4 linked regions of the Drosophila melanogaster genome follow. Changing the gene in region 1 together with any one later gene gives a genetic interaction. Each region holds a gene or a part of one and is shown on either strand. Other genes may lie near its edges. The genes, in order: mbl, amos, Ref1 and CG10341.

Evidence for each region.
Region 2: of mbl (region 1) and amos, changing one enhances a phenotype caused by changing the other (phenotypic enhancement), as found in Drosophila melanogaster (one study listed by BioGRID).
Region 3: of mbl (region 1) and Ref1, changing one suppresses a phenotype caused by changing the other (phenotypic suppression), as found in Drosophila melanogaster (one study listed by BioGRID).
Region 4: of mbl (region 1) and CG10341, changing one enhances a phenotype caused by changing the other (phenotypic enhancement), as found in Drosophila melanogaster (one study listed by BioGRID).

Annotation. Positions count from the first base shown.
Region 1 is NT_033778.4:17,263,279-17,268,762, forward strand, and holds the start of mbl (muscleblind), read left to right. Parts: upstream 1-2,239; 5' UTR 2,240-2,933; intron 2,934-5,484. UniProt on the Drosophila melanogaster protein: Required for terminal differentiation of photoreceptor cells. Vital for embryonic development.
Region 2 is NT_033779.5:18,595,262-18,598,998, reverse strand, and holds amos (absent MD neurons and olfactory sensilla), read left to right. Parts: upstream 1-2,077; 5' UTR 2,078-2,092; coding exon 2,093-2,689; 3' UTR 2,690-2,863; downstream 2,864-3,737. Other genes in the region: CG15160 (uncharacterized protein), read right to left, coding at 3,625-3,692. UniProt on the Drosophila melanogaster protein: Transcription factor involved in early neurogenesis; sensillum basiconica formation and maybe sensillum trichodea development. Promotes multiple dendritic (MD) neuron formation. Required for olfactory sensilla; regulated by lozenge (lz).
Region 3 is NT_033777.3:7,076,899-7,082,219, forward strand, and holds Ref1 (RNA and export factor binding protein 1), read right to left. Parts: upstream 3,490-5,321; 5' UTR 3,312-3,489; coding exon 3,066-3,311; intron 2,558-3,065; coding exon 2,356-2,557; intron 2,122-2,355; coding exon 1,924-2,121; intron 1,510-1,923; coding exon 1,355-1,509; 3' UTR 1,006-1,354; downstream 1-1,005. Other genes in the region: CG1943 (uncharacterized protein), read left to right, coding at 21-377.
Region 4 is NT_033779.5:18,696,628-18,701,392, reverse strand, and holds CG10341 (uncharacterized protein), read right to left. Parts: upstream 2,680-4,765; 5' UTR 2,559-2,679; coding exon 2,417-2,558; intron 2,358-2,416; coding exon 805-2,357; 3' UTR 748-804; downstream 1-747. Other genes in the region: CG10338 (uncharacterized protein), read right to left, coding at 3,508-3,569, 3,639-3,972, 4,035-4,765. UniProt on the Drosophila melanogaster protein: RNA-binding protein required for the maturation of the box H/ACA small nucleolar ribonucleoprotein (H/ACA snoRNP) complex and ribosome biogenesis.

The sequences.
Region 1 (5,484 bases):
TCTATAACTCTTATTAATTGCTTGGTCATTAGCGTTGTGAGGGGAAAAGTTATTACAGTAATCCAGAGGATCCAAGGATTAATATGAGCTGGTTTACTTTCAGCATAATTGTCTTTCTACTCTTAGCACCCTTGATTCGTTTTTAAAACTACTAATGCTAACCGAATATTAGACAACATTGTTAATCTTGCTAATATCCTTATAATTATCGATATACAACAGCCATAATAAATTACATGTTTCGGCAGTGATTTGGCACATTCCAATCATAATAGACGCAAATCGGATTTATCTCCATTATTTGTAAACATAACTCATTATTTGCTTCATCCACGCTTACCACTCCTTCAGTTCGCGATTGTAATTCATGTAATTCATTATGCATAATTTGCAGACCAAAAAACCTTTCACTTGCCCCCGAGCTCCATTAGCGATCTTTGTTTCTCTTTCGGGTCACTGACAAAAACTCCAATTTGAAATCGTTTAAAAATAGTGAACTCACACAAACACCGATGGACTTCTAATAATAAAAATCAAATCCTGGTGGGGGCGGGGTATATCCACCGTATAGTGGAGCTAAAATCATTGCGGGGGCGTTCCTCGATCTGGATCTGCATCTGGTTCGGGTCGGGTCGCTCTCTCTCTCTCTCTCTATCCCCTTTCATATGGATTTGGCTTTCACATGCCAGTTCTCGTTGGACTTCGTTTTTTTCGTTCTTGAAATCGCTTACATTCACTTTTTATTACAATTAACCTACACGGAGTGGTGCATGGTGTGCGTTAGTGGTATTCCCCCCTTTCCACGCCTACACCACATATTTTAATTGCCATGTGGGGGGTGTTAGGACCATATCTTTTGTTGCCAAAAAATCCAAAGAACGAAACAAATTTATGACATAGAAATGTCAAGAGTTGTGGCTGTGTGTGTGCGTTACATATTTCTATTTCTGGCCCGCTGGGCTGCATTCGGATATATAGCTATACCGTTATGGATGGGATGCATTTACGTAAATGATTTAGAACATATCGAACACATTTTGAAGGTGACTTTGACAGAGCGAACAAAGTTCCAATTCACTAAGTTCACTTATTTCTGTCCTTAGGCCCAAATGGAAACTGCAAGCAAACATTAATTATCATTGCGGTGTGTGAACAATTAGAGCAATGGTATTTTTCAAAAATGTACCTGGCCATTGCATGAATAAGTAGAACAAATGGTTTTTTGTTAAAAATAATTTAATAATTATATTCTTTAAGGTGCAGGTTTATACATATTCAAGATTTACAAAAAACCTTTTTTAATGGGGTCTTAGCAAAAATAATGAAAATTTCCAAAAATAAAAGATAATTGTTTTGTATATGTACGTACTTAAGCTGACGACTTAAAATGAACAGAAAATCATCAAAGCAAATTTATGACACTAAGCATAATTATAATATAATAATTATAATATACATAAGCCCTAAATAATTATAACGTGCCCAATCACTTGTGTCAAAATTGTAAAGATTTTTAGAAATTAAAATTCCTAAAATGTCTATTTATATGTCCATATTTATTATCTATTATTATCTATAGTTTTACACATTTAAATTTTTTTATCACCTAAAAAAAAAAGATTTATCGAAGGCTTGAGAGAGCCACAAAAAATACATTATCTAGTTTCTACCGTTAATTTAGTCACCGATTTGCAAAAATTAGTTGCCAGGCTATTTTATAGTCCGCAACCTACGCCAAAAGCTTAAGTCTGTCTACTTTTGGCCAGTTAACCTTTTAGTTGATTGTCAACTCGACTCGCCTTCATTGAACTCGGCAACCCCTAAAAACCCCCCTCGGTAATCAACAAAACCAAAAACACTCGAACTCTCTTCATTGGATAAAAGTACTCTTTAAGAGCACACAAGAGAGCTCGTCGGACTGTGGGACAAACAAACACTTTTTCGTACTGAATGGAGGGTTGACAGTTTGATTGCAACAGTTGACACCTATAAAATTTAAGCTGACGAAAAGAGTTAGTCAAGCATTTATACACTAATATACAAAATAATATATAAATTGGAATATCTTTTCCACTTCTTATATGCTACAACGTTTTGAAGTTACTAAAATGCCACAGTATGTGGTTTTTTGCCCCACAGTGCAAGCGTAAGCGAAAGAGAATGACAGGCAGAGAGTGAAAGAGAGCGAGAGAGTTTCGAGTCGAATTGGAATGGAATGACCAGAAAAATATTGCTGCTTTCAGTTTCGAAAAATTTTTCGATGGAAGCGGTTCTGTCAGCGGAAAAGTGAATTATACCAGAGCCTGCCTGAAAAACTCAAGAAAACCCCATCAAAGAAATAGCAGCTCTCAGCTAAATAATAACAAACACAATACTTTCTGCTCAGTCACCGCAAACAGAAATAATCACAATTCTGCAAAACGCCGTCATCAAAAAAGTTTTAGCCTACAACTCTAGAAACGCGGAAAAATTTGTCAAAAATACAACTAAAAAAACAACAACGCGAGTGCACGTGTATGTGAGGTGCTCAGTAAGAGTGTTTGCGTGTGTTCGTTTCTGTGTGTGACAGATAATAAAAGGAGAAAAAAAGAAGTTGTCGAAAGTCGTTCGTGAAAATTCAAGAAAAATAGTGCAAGCGCTGCAGGGAAATTGTCCGGAAAAATCGCAAAATCCATTGTTTTTAGCCGGCATCTTAAAAACCAACGATAACAACAGCTTCTGCAACAACGCGCGTGTTTAGTTCACACACACACCACGGAGCGTCGAGAAAAAAAGGTTAAAAATACATTTTCAATTCACCATCGGCGTAAAAGTAAAACAATAAACAAATACAAGAAAATAAAACAGCAGCCGCTTTTTCACCCAACAACAACAATTTCAACAACTTCAACTTCGCCAGCAGCAACAACAACAAGTCAGCTGGACAACCGAAGGTGTTTATACTTAAAAACAAAAAAAAAAGAGATCGTTGTGTTTTTTTCCTTTTGTTTTCTCTCTTTTTTCGCCTTCGTCTTAAGTTTATGTTTTTTTTCTATCCATCGGTTTGTCTCTTCCCTTTCTTGCCACATTTCGTGGTCTTGTTTGTTATTGCTGTCGAATTTTCGGTGATGCCAAGTGAAAAGTCGGAAATTCTGTTTCATGACAGGGAAAACTTAATATTGTAAGGAAAGTTGTTCTCAAGACTGGAGAAGAAGAAATAATGGGAGAAAATTAACATAAGTAAACGTAAAGGAAACTAATGTTTTTCAAAGTTAATAAGGTGTATGTAGTTTTAAAGTGTAGTATCCATCCAATAAAACTTCGGTATTTAAAGTTTAAAAAAAAAAGTTAATTTCAACATACATAAAGTCTCATTGGTAGTGTTTTATAATTACAGTGTTGCAAAAGAAGTCACTTACTTAGAGTCTATTTAGTGCTGAATAAGGTGCAGAAACATTGACGTATTCAATATTACAGAGATGCATATGCATATATATCGGAGGCTAATTTATATTGTTTGATTTAAATAATTTAACAACAAAATTCTATTTACCAAATTTGTTCAGGCCAAAAAATATAAAAAAGTACGGAGCAATATACACAAATATACATTTATTATTGAAAACAAACTACTTTACACGGCCAAAAATATAAATTCTGCATTAATAAGTGTATTATAATCATTAAAAAAAACTTGCTTAATCTGTTAAAATAATGCACATCTCGTTCACTTGGCTTGGTAAAGCTTAATGACCGAAAATCAAATTGAAATTGAGCCTAATGAACTGTGAAATAATAATTAAAATTCAACAAATTGCAAACCAAATTTGTCAGAGTGAAAATGGGAATGGTTATTCCACATTATTGGGCATTAAATACGTTAAATATATCCACATTATTTGCGAAAGCGCCCTAACAGCTTAACATGAATATATATCATCTGTGGAGTTAATTAACTTAAAAGCACGGTAAAAACTACAAATATTCGCGTTGTAATATAATGCAAATTTAGCCATTTTTATTCTAAAGCCGGACAAGGCCTAGACTATTAAACAAACAAAATGGAGAAAAAAAAAATACATCTAAGTCGAGCGATTTTTACTGTGCGTTTCAACACTGTTAGCCAGTTGTAAAGAAACACACGTGACAATAAAACAAAACGCCTGCAAACAGGCAATTACGGAATTAATGGCTAAATCAAATTGTTTTGAAAGCTTACGATATTTAATGGGCTTAGACACCCGAACAGAAAACAGACATGATTCTTAAATTTAATGTGATTATTTTGTTAAACGAAACTGATTCAATTACCGCATTTGTTCTGACACTGCAAATCGATTTCATTTTAGGGTCTTAGAGACGAATTAATGGGAAATACGATCCCGAAACGCACTGTACTCGCACATGCAAATACATAGATTTTATTTTAACGAAAAGTCACGTTTTTTATGTGGTTCTCCACCTAAAAACCCACACCCCTCGCTCTTGCCAAGTCGTAACCATTAAATTTATGTTTATTTCGGTCCTAGCTTCGGTTTCAGTTGCAAAAAGATTGTTATTATAATTTTTCCGATTTGTTTCGTTTTCCTCCAGTTCAGATATGCAAATTGAATTAGCTCTGCCCGCTGGCAACTGGAAAACAAAAAGCAAAAGTTTGACACATTTCGTTTTTATTTTTACTCTTCATTTTTACCCATCATCATCAACAAAAGTGTCAAAAATGTGTTGCTGCAGAAATATGAGTCAAAGAAATCGTTTGGAAAATGCCAAAAATGAATTATTATTTCTGTCCATTTGTTCAATACACTCTGACAAGTCATTCACTTTTTCTCCTCCGAACGTACTCAAAAAATCAAACTCGAACCATAACTACAAAACGCCACGAATGCCACAAGACGGTTTTATATTTTGTTGGTGAAGGGGATTGGTATGAAAACTTGAGGACTTTTGGCATGACTAATCGATTCGATTTTTCGCCAAAAACTCATGCCGCAGTACAAAAAGACGAGGCAAGAAAAAACGTCGCTGTGAGAAATATGTGTTTGACTTGTAGTAAGAGGGTTTTGTGCTTTAAGCTCTTCTCAATAGGTCGTAAATATCGATAGGAACACCCCCTTTCGGTTGTCGAAAGTGTGGAAATAGCGTTGTATATGTCCGTGTTTGTTTGCTCGGCTCGCGATTTCAGTTTTGATGCGAGATGACAGCACTCGAAAAGGTGTCAGAGTTCAGACGAAAGGTATAAAAAGGTCTAGCCTTAAATCGCTAGAAAGCTCAAAACAATACAATTTGCTTATGAGCAAATACTTGTTAATTAATGCTTTTAAGTATATATATTCACATCTTCACTAAATAGCTAAATACAGTGTTCTGGAAAAAATTTCAATATATTCAAAATTGGCAAACTATTGATCGAGTTTTCGTTTAATGCTGGAATTTTTATATCTGAAATATCGATTCGTTGCGTTTCTGTTTTATATCTCATCTTGTATTTTTGCATTCACATAA
Region 2 (3,737 bases), on another chromosome or scaffold:
GAAATTATTCTTTGACCTGGAAAAAAATAAAAGGGCGTACATTTAAATAAAATAATGATCAGCAAAAACATTTAAAGTATGCAATTATAAATTATATTCCAATTCTCCGCTTTCGCTAGGAACATCCATTTCAAGTTCTTGCTAGACATACTGTCTGGATATTTTTGCACATCTGTGACCACAACGAATTTACTTGGAAACAAACAAATCTTTGTATATAATAATTCATAATTCCAGATTATTACATGGTAATTATGCTCAGGACAATGAAGTTAGGTCTGATCCATTTCAGACCAACAATGGGACCAAAAAACAAAGATCCATTGTCAGGCATTGCAATACAAAGAGTGGAATCAACAAGTGTCGGGCGAGAAGAGATTCCCATGGAATTCCTGGTGACTCCGGGACTCTGACTTCTAATCTCATTTTCGCAATTTAGCGCCAACAACTAATCCGCAAAGCGAAAACGATTAATCTGGCAGGGAAAACCCAAAAACACGCAACTGCCAGACGTATCCGAGATTATCATCAGGTGACCTATTGTTGGTCAGAAGAAAAGAAACAAACGGGCATGGATATGGATGGAGTGCGGAGAGAGGTTCCCACTTTCAACCAGAACCGCCCACCAACCGACTACCTATTGTTGCTATTTTGACAGGATCGAGGTCCCAGGTAGCGCAGAAAAATGCTAATTGGAAATTCCAGAACCTCTTTTCGAAGGCGTTGCAGATCTTTAGGTTATCCGCGAACCTTTCTCCCGAAAATATTGCAGCATAATGCCTAATCTGGGCCAGGATTTCGACTAAGCTGCGGTCGCGTGGCACTCTTAACAAAGTGAACCGATCGAGCGATCGATCGATCCATCAGCTATCATCATCATCGTCAAGATCAAACGTCAGGATCCTTTGTCGGCTCGGGACTTTGTTCCTTGACAATTTGGGCGAAGTAACTGGGCCATCTTGCAGTGGCATCATTTGTACTCTTTAGCCATGCTCGGCGCTTCTCGGCCAGTGTTTTCCAATTGTTTTGCCCAGTTTCCTTAGAAATTCAGCGAACTCCTCGAATTGATTTTCCCTCTAATGCTGCGAGTCTGTGGAGTTAATTAGCCTTTCGATGCGGTCACTTGAAAGTGGGCTTGATCCCAAGATGACTGTGGAAACCAGAGCATACGAATGAAAGTATATAATGTGAGGGTGCAACATATTGCACCAGAGTTTCGAAGGACCCATCGAATGGTTTCAGCATGTTAAAGTAGTGTAGTTTTATTATCGGAAAAGTAACTCTTCAGTAAAGGCGTTAATATAGCACATTTCAAATCCCTTAATATGAAAATAATAATAAATAATAATAATGTGATACTTGCTTTGATTTCTTCATGCTTTTTTGAATTTCGAACTTCTCGACGTCCTGTAATTTGGCCATTGAAAGCAGGAGAAAGCCACTATTAATACACCCACTTAAATTTGACCCAATAAAGTAAGTACAACCGCCTAAAATCGAAAGTCACAAACCGCACAAGCACAATTGTTGCTCTTTGTTCTGTCCGAAAAATGGGGTTTGCATCCAACCAGTCGAGCACTCCACTCACTAGACCACAGACATGCAACCAAGATGATCCATGGCGATCTTCGATGGAGGCACACATTGTGGAAAATATTCCCATATGACAAGAGTCTTTTGTGCGTTCGCATTTTGACCTTGGCTAAATTTTGTTTGAATATAAAAAGTCAATTCCAGGGCAAGTAACAAAAGAGGTATGATTACAGACGGTAGCCAAATGACAGGTCAAACAAAAGGAGTCGACCTGTAGCTGATACAGTAAATACCTGGGAGAAAGAGGGAGAGAGTTGCAGCCAGAGACAATTAAACGTCTTGACCGCAAGCCAATTTAGGGCACGGGCTGTGCTGCTGATCCTCAAGAGGTTGGCAATCGGGTACCTGAGCGGATCGGATCAGCTTGAGGCAGCGAATCAGGTAACAGGACATATGTAGTGAACCAATCACGTGAGAGCTGAATCCTCGGCAGGCAGCTATATAAAGACCCATCCTCAAGCAGCCACTTCAGTTGTCCCTTGAGCCTGCAAACGTAAACATGTTGACCAACAACGAGCTAATGGAGCAGTTCTACTTCCCCGACGAAGCCCCAGCGATTCCCGAGTTCCTGAGCAACGACACCTTCCAGCAGTTGGAGCAGCTCATGTACCAGCAGGAGTTCAGCACCAGCGACAGCCAGTCGGATGGCGCCAACAGTTGCTCCTTGGAGATGTATTACGATACGCCGTCTGTCCTGGAATTGGAGCACATGCTGAATGCCCAGGAGCAGCAGCAGCACCACCTTCAAGCGAATCCCTTGGGCAAGAATCAGGGCAGAAGTCCAAGGTACTGGAACAAGCAGCAGAGGAGCAAGCCATACGACAAGCTGTCCACTTCCATGTCATCATCTACATCCTCCGCCTCTTCGAGCAGTTCATCGTCCGCGGGATTCGGTGGCGAAGTCCTCAAAAAACGGCGACTGGCCGCCAATGCTCGGGAACGGAGGCGGATGAACAGCCTGAACGATGCCTTCGACAAGTTGAGAGATGTGGTTCCATCACTCGGCCACGATCGGCGACTCTCCAAATACGAAACTCTGCAAATGGCGCAAGCATACATCGGGGATCTGGTCACGTTGCTGTCCAGAGACTACTAGCCAGTGTGGGCGATCCTTTATCCTTTCTTCCTCAAATGGAAGTTCCTTTTGCGGGCTGTGTTGCAGCAACACCTTCATATCCTAGTGGAAATCTTATAAAGGCTGTTAGTTTTACGTTTATTATCATAGTTGTACACAATTCAAGCAATAGTTTTATAATAAAAATGAAAATACAAATCAATTATATTGTTTTAAATTCATATCGTATGAAATGGTGGAGTTGGAATGAAAATAATGTTGTGCGAACTTGGAAATTTATATTTTGTTTGAATTGTATCTTTGCATTTTTTGCTGGTACATATACAGAATTTAGAGCAGATATTTTTAGAGAGAAAAAGGGAAAAATCCAATAAATATTTAAAAAAAAGATAGGAAGTTTATAGGTACTGAAATGTAAATAACTTATCAGACTTATTAATTTACATAAATATATGTAAAAACTCCATTTATCAATCCAACTGATGCCTCCACATTTGTTTTTATTCGCCACGCTTTCATCTCAGCCCGAAAAAGGGTATCCTTGTTATCCTTGAAAGATGAGAGCGGCATGGCAAGCTAGGCAGTGCGCCACGCCCACGAACCAAAACGAAAGGTCATAACATCAGTAACAAACCGAGAATTAATGAGTTCCGCTTCCGACTCAAAGTGATGGAACTCCAAAACAGAAGTGATTAAATGCCGCAAACGTCAACAGGTAAACACACTGAGGATAAACACAGTCGCTACCTTAGATCCTTCGAAGATTAGACGAAAATTGATTTAAACATAGTCATTTGTAAGTGCTATGGGAACTGTGGGTGGACCGAGCGAGTATCTATCTGAAACGGATGAAGTCGAGGATCCAGAAAGACAAAAGACGTATCGTACACAACAGTTTTCAATTGCAAATATCACATTGATGTTTGTATTTATAAAACTAAATACAGATTGTTAACTTAGCTTACTATAACTATGGTGTATAGCTTGAGTCCACAGAAATCTGAGAAATTGCTCTTCAATAAGTCTGGAATAGAATGCACAACGAAATAAGTAAGATAGTATATAGTAA
Region 3 (5,321 bases), on another chromosome or scaffold:
CCACAACCAGCAGCGACAAAATGACATCCACCGAGCTGAAAATCGGCCTGACCACCAGTGCCCGTCCCTCCAGCCGAGTGCTGAAGCCCCCAGGCGGCGGACACACCAATATCTTCTCGGAGCCCGACGTGGCCGTTCCCGCCCCGCGTGCCAAGTACAACCAACAGAACTCCTCAAACCTCAATGCCTGCATGGGCTCCACGGATCCCAACAAGGTGGTGGAGAAAATTCGCGAAGAGGTCTCCATCCAGAAGGAGGAGGCCAAGTCCGCCCCACCCAGCCAGCCCAAGGAGCCGGCGAACAAACCAGCGGCCACAAATGGAGAGGCACGCGGCCGAGTTCCACCCGGCGGATTCTCGTCGGGCGGATTCTGGTAGAGGGAGGAAGGAGGGAAGGAAGTGTGCCCGGGAGCAGAAGCAGCTGCCAAGCATTTAATGACTCACCATCACATCCTCAGACCGACATAAGAATCATAAAACTATAAATATACATAACTCGCTTATAACATACGTATACACCTATATTTAGAGGCGCATTACCTATATTAACCTGCTGATCAGCCGAAGAAGAAGGGAAACTGATTATATTTTGCCAAGCAGCACTCCAAGTCGTTCTTCCTTTCGCCCTTTCATTTTCATGTCCCACATTTGTTCTATTGTCTAAGTAACAGGTTTAAAATGTCTAACGAAATTGTTGAAATTAAGTAACTCGTGATTCCGCCCCACAAATACGGATGATATGGATTGACTTTGCTAAAATCTACCACCTACTAAGCCTAATTTAGCATTTGTACTTAAAGTGTCCAATCGAATCTTCTTATAGTCTGTAAAATTCGTCCAAACGAATACCAATATAACCATCGATGTATTACTCCAAATAAAACATTTAATTGTAAGTGATGGCTCTTTTATTTTTGCAAGTTGATGGAGATTCTTCGGAGTCCGCCGCCGCCTAGTAATTAAACAATACTCCTAGCCTATTGAGTCAGTAAATACAATTCGATTTGGTCACGAAATTAATTCTAGTATTTATTACAATTCAGTTTAATTTGACAAGGTCCATCAATTTATCGTCGAACTTGATAAAGCGCATTTCTAAATACAATAAATACAGCATCAAATGTATTTCAGTTATCTTAACATCCGCCGCATTGGCAAAACTAACAATTAATGGATAAATGCGCAAGTGGTTGATTGATTTGATGTCCGATGCTTTCAAAGATCTGCTCCTGGGCGCGGCGTTGTCGATGCGTTTGCATTTATGTACCATGCGGGGGGTGTCCATATGGTAGGCTTAAAACTATAGATTGGGCTGCTCTTCTATTCTTGTTAGACTAATTCAGACTATTCACTATTTAGATCTTCATGTCGTTGATGTATGAGTCCAGTTCGGCGTCCAGCTCCTCAGCAGTGGGCGGGGCCTTGCGCTCCCGTCGCTGGCCGCCTGCCGCCGGCTTGCCACCGACCGGACGTTTGAAGCCGCGACGCGCCGTGCCACCAGCTTGGCCACCTAAAAAACAGTTCGGAATGATAGTGTAAGCATTGGAGCAAGGATGGATCGTCATGGGACCGTATCATGGTCATTATAGAAAGGTAAGCTTTCATATGTGGAACTGACCTAGTAACGTAGTTTACCCAACAAACATCGTATTAAATCGAAACAAAAGTTTGAATAATTACAAAAGCTGTTGACAAGAAAACATAACAAAGAAAGGAAAGTATTTCGTATAAAAAGTCAAGTAACAAAATTTGAAACCTAAGACATACTAGGTAATCGAAATAAATAGGCATTTAAAAATCTTTGTGGGAATGGGGATAGATCCAAAATTGATCTGAAATAGTTTTAAATGAACGATGTTTGTGGTAAAAATAAACGAAAATGGGCATCATTCACGGTCCCTGCTGTAGCATTTTGGATACGCACCACCACGCTTGAATGAAGTTGGTGCAGTACCACCCACGCGACGCTTGACATCGGTGGCGGCTACGGGACGGGTCAACACGGCCACGTCTGAGACGGCCAGCTGAATGGTCATAGGGCGTCCGTCCAAAGGTACGCCATGGTACTGTTTAATGGCCTTCAAGGCGTCGGCGCGACGTTCGAAAATCACGTCAGCGGTGCCTGCAAAGAAAAGTGAATAAATCAAATACATGGCAATAGCTTTAAATTTCGGCATAAATCAAAATACTAAATAAAAACCGCAGCTTCATCGGATGATCTGATCTGTTATCAATTCAAGCCGATTTATATTACTTGGAATGTCTGTTACTGAACCATTCTGCCGCCATTTTATGAACAGCATGTACCGAAATGTTTCACCTAACGACAGGTAGCTGGAGTAGTACTAGCACTTACCCAACGAGCGACCGGAGCGATCGTAGTGCACTGCCGCCTTCTTTATCGGACCAAAGTCGTTGAAGAGCTCCTTGATGTCCGTGTTGGATACGCCGTAGTCCAGGTTACCGACGATGAGGCGGGTGGGTCCAGATCCTCCACCGACGGCACCCCTCTTCGGTCCGTCGTACATATCGTGCTTCCAAGCGCTGTTCACATCGCCCTAGAGGTGGGGGTAGTATTAGGTAGAAGGTAGATGGGTATGTCTTCGAACGCTGCGCGTATCAACTATATGTATGTGGCGGGAGTAGCCGTTGCAGTAGCAGTTGCATCGTATCCTAGCCACAAGAGAGGACAGCCATATTGAGCGGAGACACTAGAAATGCTTGTTAACTGGGTATGGTTCACGTGGAAAACGTGAGGCGTGAGACGTGAGGAAAAATAAGTTAAGACACAGGTGTCGTCTGTTTGGTATTCTGTAAAAACGGGGTTAAAGGAACTTGAACTTGAGGCTCTGCTCGGGCTCGAAGAGTTGTTCCGTCCGTTGGAAGGCGCATGGTGGCCATTTTGATTTTGGTTTAGATTCTGAGTCTGTTTTTCGCTTCCAAGCACTGTTGTGCGGATCATGGGCCGCAAGACACTTGCTTTGGTAGTGCTCTGTCCTGGTGAACTGAGCACGGGGATGGTCTGCTCCGGCTGCTCCGTTTGGCCATTGAAACGCAATGAATTACCCGTGGGAACTTGGCCTTCTGAACGGCTCCGGCGGCCACTCCTCCTCGCGGGCCCTTGAGCACGCTTCCTGGCTTCCTGGGCGAGCCGCCGGCATTGGCTCCGCCGCGGCGGGCTCCACCAGCAAAACGCTGCTGTCCGCCCGTTTTTCGGGCGCCACCTGGTCCGCCGCGGGCGGCTTGCGGCTTTTTTTGCGAGCGTGTGGACTTAATGATGTCGTCGAGGCTCATTTCAATTTTGTCCACCATCTTGCTTATTGCGTGCTGTATTGACTACTTGGAGATCGTTTAAAGTCAAGGGAAAGATTGGGTCTCTGCTTGCTACTGAAGAATGTGTTTAAAGCGTTTTTTTTTTAAGGAGGAGCGCGTGGAATTTCACAAAACTTTGCAAAAACGACGCACACAGATCTACACAATCGCCATATTGGTTCAGAGGAAAAAAGTGTTGAATAACGGTGTGCGTCAAGATAACGACGACAACGAGTTGTCAACGAAAATGAAACGGCGAAATAGGGTAAATACGGAAATTATATAAACATAAAATATAACATAACATTAAAAATTATTATAATTCATATTCACGAAATATCCTAATAATATGGGAAATATCCACTTTTGAAAATGTTTAGAACCATAATAAATATGTGATTATAATAATGTTGTGATTAAATGTTGTGATTAAAATGACTATGATCTTGGAAAATTATTTGGAATGATTACCTCCCATCTAAGTTTTTTTTTTCTCTCTTTTTATTTACAATCTGTCTTAAAAAAGTATGACAATAAGTACATTTTATAATTAATCTTATATTAACAGAGGCAGTAGTTATCCATTAATCCCTACTACATACTCTAGGCATAACATGTTTTAATACTTAAAACCTGTCAGGGAGGTCTAGCACGTAAAATCTTTTAAGTCTTCTGACGTTGTTATTACGTTTTACCAAACTTAAGGCTAAGTTATTTTCATGTGTTCTTAGTCTGTCTATATATTTTTTAATATGTTTTGCTATTTCTTCTTTAACATAAGGGATTCCTAAGTCTTTATGGATACTTGCATTTGAAATAAAAATTGAGCATCAACAATTTGTCTTAATATTTTTGATTGGTAGCGTTGTAGAATCTAAATATTTGAATTGCTGGTATAAGTTTAGTATGGCTTTGTATAAACGGACTTTATTTTCCAGAGTGGTTGCAGATTTTCGGCAACCAGCAACCAGGTCATCTTCAAACTTTTTAGATTTAGTTGCTGGCGCTTTGCTTTTATGTGTTTTTTCACGTTAGTCTGGGATCGAGGTGCAAGCCAAGGTACTTTATGCAATTACTTTGTGGGCAGTCATCTCTTCTTAATGCAAAAGTTATTTGCGCAGATTTCAGGGCGTTGACATTAATTTTCCAAAGAAGAAACCAGCGTAGCTCTGCTTGCAGGAGTTGTGAGGCTTCTTTAGATGAGCTGGTAGCATTTCAAATTAAAAAAAAAAAATTAAATTTTAATTTTGAAGAAAATTTTCAACATTTAGCTTATAAACAACTTAATCTTAATCTAATCCGAAAATCTCAAATGGAAATACAAATTTCTTGATTGGGATACAGCCTAGTTATACCCGTTACTTGTAGAGTAAGAGGGTATACTAGATTCGTTGAAAAGTATCTAACAACTAGAAGGAAGTGCTTCCGACTATATAAAGTATATATATTCTTGATTAGGAACAATAGACGAGTCGATCTAGCCATGTCCGTGGAGATCTCAGGAACTATAAAAGCGAGAAGGTTCAGATTCAGCATACAGCCTCTAGAGACATAGACCATGTTGCCACGCCCACTCTTACGTTCTCAAGCCGTAAAAAACGCCACGCTCAAACTTTTGAACAATTCTTCGAATTTTTTCAAAATTCTATTAGCCTTGTAAATTTCTATCGATTTGCCGAAAAACTTTTTACCACGCCGCTCTAACGCCCTAAAGACGCAATTGAAAAATTTTTGCTCATTTTATTCCCCTAGATATTAGATCCCTCCCAGAAAAATGTTGAAATTTCGTGTTCGCATTTACACTAACTGGTATCTGTGAACTCGACTATAGCATTCTCTTGTGCTTTTATTATAAATACAACCATAACCGTTTTATTTTGTTTTTTAGGAACAGTTACGCAGAAGTGGCCCACAGTGCCCGCGAGTTTCAGTATTTTAAAAATAATTATTTAAACGCAAACGTGACCCTTGGTCACACTGTACCATTAGTACTTGAAAAGTAAAACGAAC
Region 4 (4,765 bases), on another chromosome or scaffold:
ATGCATATTGTGGGAATATAAGTAATATAATCCATTTTCTAAAAGATTATTGAACGTACGCAATCGTTTAATGTGATACAACGAAAATAAGGTATTACAAGATGATAGAACCCAAGTCCTTGCCTAATTAAAAACTAATAATATGCCCAAAGATTACTTTCCGAACCTACATTTGCAAATTAATCAACGAGAATTAACCCAAACCGGCCCATTGTTGTTTCGTTTACTTTACGTTATTGTTGTAATGTAAATAGCTTGGAGCTGTTCGGAGTGCTCCTACCTTTATTGTCACATTCTCACGTGCCTACGTGGTCCTGAATATGGATGACCCCATCCCGGTCCACTTGTTTGGTTGCTCGAATAAGCTCAATCAAAATATTTTGTGGTTGCTCAGCAGTTGAACGAAATTTTAACAAGTTAAGGCAACTGTTGTTAGCCCAATAGTATATAGAAAAAGTGCACAATTACGCACATAAATATGTTTACATATATTTTAGATTAGCCAGCAAGCATATTTATACACATTGAAGTTGTTTTCGGCCGCTTAGTGCTTCCTGCTGTACGATAATAAGCCAAGCCATGTAGCCAGGTACACATATATCGTAGTTAAACGCGTATATATTTACACCCGTAACCGTATTTAATGATCCCACACAGATTAAGTACCTTTTTATACAAATCCAACGAACCTTTCATGCATTTTATCGAACAACCCAGGACACATTTTTAACAACACACACGCAAATTGATAAAGATTTTTTATTGGAATAATAAAAGTAATTCACTGAATTGTCATACCTATCTCTAGCTGGGTGGCGGCTGACCCTGATGTGACTGGTTGTTCGGCGGAGGAGGAGCAAAGGGTGGTGGTGGCGGGTACATGTGTGGGTACATGGGCGGCATGGCGTAGGGCATTCCGTAGCCATAGTTAGGCACTGGGAAGGGCATGCCAGGATGCTGCTGAGCCATGTTAAAGTTAGCCGCTGCCTGGTGATAGTTCTGGTAGTAGTTGGAGTGCCAGCTGCCCGGATTGTAGCTTGGATGGAAGTTGTATTGTTCGTCCTGTGGCTGATTCTGGTTGTGCTGGTTAATGGAGGGTCGCTGGCTCTGGCGGAAACTCTCTCGTTGCCCACGACGTCCGCGTTGACGAGGAGGAGGAGCAACTGAAGAAGCCTTAGTGGCTGTCGTGGCCACCGAGGTTACCGTGTCCACGGAATCTGTGGAGTTTGTGCGATCCCTTTGGCGGCGCTTTCGCTGCTCTGCCCTGGCTTCTCTTTCTTCTTCATCATCCGAGTGATCTACGTAGCGGGCTGGTGGTTCTACATCGTGCTCCCACGAAGCATCCGATCCTCGAACTTGCATCAGCTTGGAGAGGATCACAAATTGAGTGTGTTCGGTTTTGGGAGCGCAGTACACTACGTCGCCAATTTTGATGCCCCTATCGAGGATCTGTTTGTTACTGTTGAATCGAACGCAGTACAGTGGATCCGACACTTGACCCAACACATCGAACACTTCGCCCAGGACCTTGCGACCCTTCTCCAGGAACAAAACGGTGTCGAGATCGAATAGCATGGAATTCGGCAGCACGGAAACCAAAACAAGCTGATCCACGATGGACTGAACTTTGCCAAGTTCAACGCATTCATCCTCGGGTACAGTAATCTCTAGCTGATGAATAGGCGGAAGGTCATCAAGGAGCATTTCTCCTCGTACTTTCGGGGGCTGGCGACGACGAGACCGATCTCCTGTAGCCCCATCTTCATCAAAGTCCTCGTCATCCTCGTCACAATCCACGGTGTTGATTCTTTTGTCAATCTTCTTCCGAAGTACGGTGAGGTATTCTCCTTCGGAATCGGAGTCTGAGTCACTGCTGCTGCTGCTGCTCTTTGAGCTCTCGTCATCCGAGCTCACAGCTACAACTGGACGATATGCGGTGGTGGAGGATGCGGGGTCCGTAACTGGAACTTCAATCACATCGTTGTCGCCGTTCTGCACTGGAGTGACTTTCTCATCATCCGAGTCATCAGAGCTGTAGGCAGCCAACAGACTGAGGCCACTTGCTTGAGGGCTTGAATCAACATGTGGAGCGGGCTGAACTTGAGGTGCGGTCACAGTAGCAGAAGCGTCAGAGGCAACTTTTTTGGATTCTTCCGATGGACTTCCCTGGACCACGAGATCTGATGATGTTTCGAATTCCATTTCCACACACTGTTGCTCCTCTACAAGATTATTCACTGAACCCACCACCTTTTCCTGGGTTGTGGTCGATGTCATGGCTTGTGTTGACTCATTTACCAGTTCATTTTCCACCTGCTGCTCCATTTCTACTGGTTCTACTACGGCATTCGTAGCTTCTGCATTGAAATTCCAAATCTATTATTGAACTTATAGTATAGAAAGCTTATAAGCTTACCTGTTGTCGCTGTTTCCAACTTATCTATTGATAAGTCTGCCTTCAAGGTGCTATGTTTCCCCAATTCAACAGCTGTTTCGGTGGATTGTGGCTCTTCAATTGGAGCTGAAGCCTTTACAGCCGCTGGCTGCTCACTCTCCATGCCTATTTAACTTTAAATAGTTAGACAATTCCTTAATCAAGCTGAAATCGCAGGGAAACGAATATCAACTGAGAATACACACGTTGAATGCACGCACGTGTTGTCTTCTTCTTTCTAAAATAACATTCACAGTCATAAATAAAATACATCGAGCCGTTGCGAATGGCAATGGTTTATACCGCTCTCAAAAAATTTAAAATGTTGAAAACGAATGTATAATTTTTAAAATGTTTATTGTTAAAAAATGTGATATAAATATTTTTGTCCTTAAAATTGTTTACTTTTATTTGTTTCGTTAAAATCATTTGCGTGGTGAGACGGTATGCACACAATTCATATATTGCATTCATTGAAAAGCATTTTAGTTAAGCAAAAATGGACGCCAACTTATTCCGTATATACTCGAAGCTAATATTTAACTTACTATTGCACATTTAGCATTAAAAAAAGCTTAAAACTTTGTACACTTTTTGCTCAGAATGCAATTGAAACGGGTTTTCCGTAGTTCGTTGTGAGATTCTTCATGACTAATATCTAAAAATGTATTGTATGCTCTCGAAATATCGAAGTGCATACTTACAATAAGTCCTTACAAAATAGTTTCTTGATTTTCTTTTGTGTCTCCTTTAGTCCTAGTAGCAGCTAATAATTGAAACAATGTCTTCCGATAAATTCATGGGTAAAAGCAGGGCGAAATTAGCTTATCAAATATCGGTTACAAACATTACTTTGTGCTAAGGCAGAGTTAGTTGGAAGATGTTCAAGTGCGAACGAGATTCACAAAGCTAAATCTAGGTAAATATCAATAGCACTTAGTTAATATCAATGTTTTCGCTCTATGGTAGCCATGTGAGATATGTGAGAATGATAATGAAGTCTAATGAAATTAATTCTTCAGGTCAAAGCAAGCAACTAAGGTCAAAATCTAGCAATCAAAGTCACCATTCTCCTACACCTTCCAATCTAAACGGTATTCGTCCACCAGCAGCAAGTGATGATGGATTAGCCAACCTATAATACATAGTAAAATTAATTAGGGCTCTAGCACTAATAGTACAAATGAAATCAATTTATCCCTACCCTCTTGCTGCGCCAGCGCCAAAAACTCCTGCCACTTCGTCTGAATGTCCCAGTATTTCTCCTTAAGCTGATTCCTGTCCTGCAAATAGGACACTGCAAAGAAGTACGCCTTCAGCACATCCTGCGGACGAGTTTCAAAGTGCAGATATACACCCAGACACTTTTTGGTCTGTGCGATGATGAAGTGCTCGTGGGGATCGAAGGAGGACACTATGTTCTCAATAACGCTGCTGCTCTTGTACTCGTCAATCAAATTTTTAACGCTCAGTCCGAGCTTTATGTTCAGTGACACTGAAACCGTTTGGCCAACCGTCACACGCTCCATGGCGTTCACCTAGAAAAAAAGTCAAAGCTGAACAAAACCTTATTTTTCGACAAGATCAACGATGTACCAACCTGCTGCGGACTGAGCATCCTTGACGACCTGAAAAACTCCTCCAGGGCGATCAAATAGCGCGACTCGTTGAAGCTTCGCAAGCATACTGCGCGTACTGCTTTCAGATTGGCATACAGATGCAGGCTGACCACCACGTAGAATATGGTATACAGGACCGCCTGACTCTTGATCAGCGAGAGGAGATACAGGCCCACAAAGGAGGCCACCAGATTCACGCACGTCTCCTGTGAACTGTCCTTGGATGCCACATCGGCCAGGTTGCCCCTCAAGGCATGATGCTGGGTCAATGCCGATCTAGTGGCACCTCCGGCAACGCCCACAATCGCCTTCAGCAGGGTCGAGCAGCACAGGATTTGGGTGCTGAAATGCGGATACTTGGGAAGCACGTAGATCTCGATGCCCATGGCCAGATCGTTCAGAAAATCCGCACGCAGGCGCCATTTCTTTGAGTCCACATCCAATTGGGAGCCCTGCCACCATGCGAACACAATGCGACCCACGTGACCACTGCCCTCCTTCAAGATCCAAGTCGCCGTTGCGGAAAAGGCATTGATGTTCTCGCTGCCCACGCCGATGCCCTTCAAGATGGCGTGTGTGCACAGGGTGCCGCAGATGGTGCTGCAGAAGGCCTGGGCCGTGTCCCAGATCTGGTATGCTGCATAGTCCTCGCTGACACTATCCGGATAGCCCTTGGGCAGGAAGACCTTCTGCAGCACGCGAAACAGCAGGA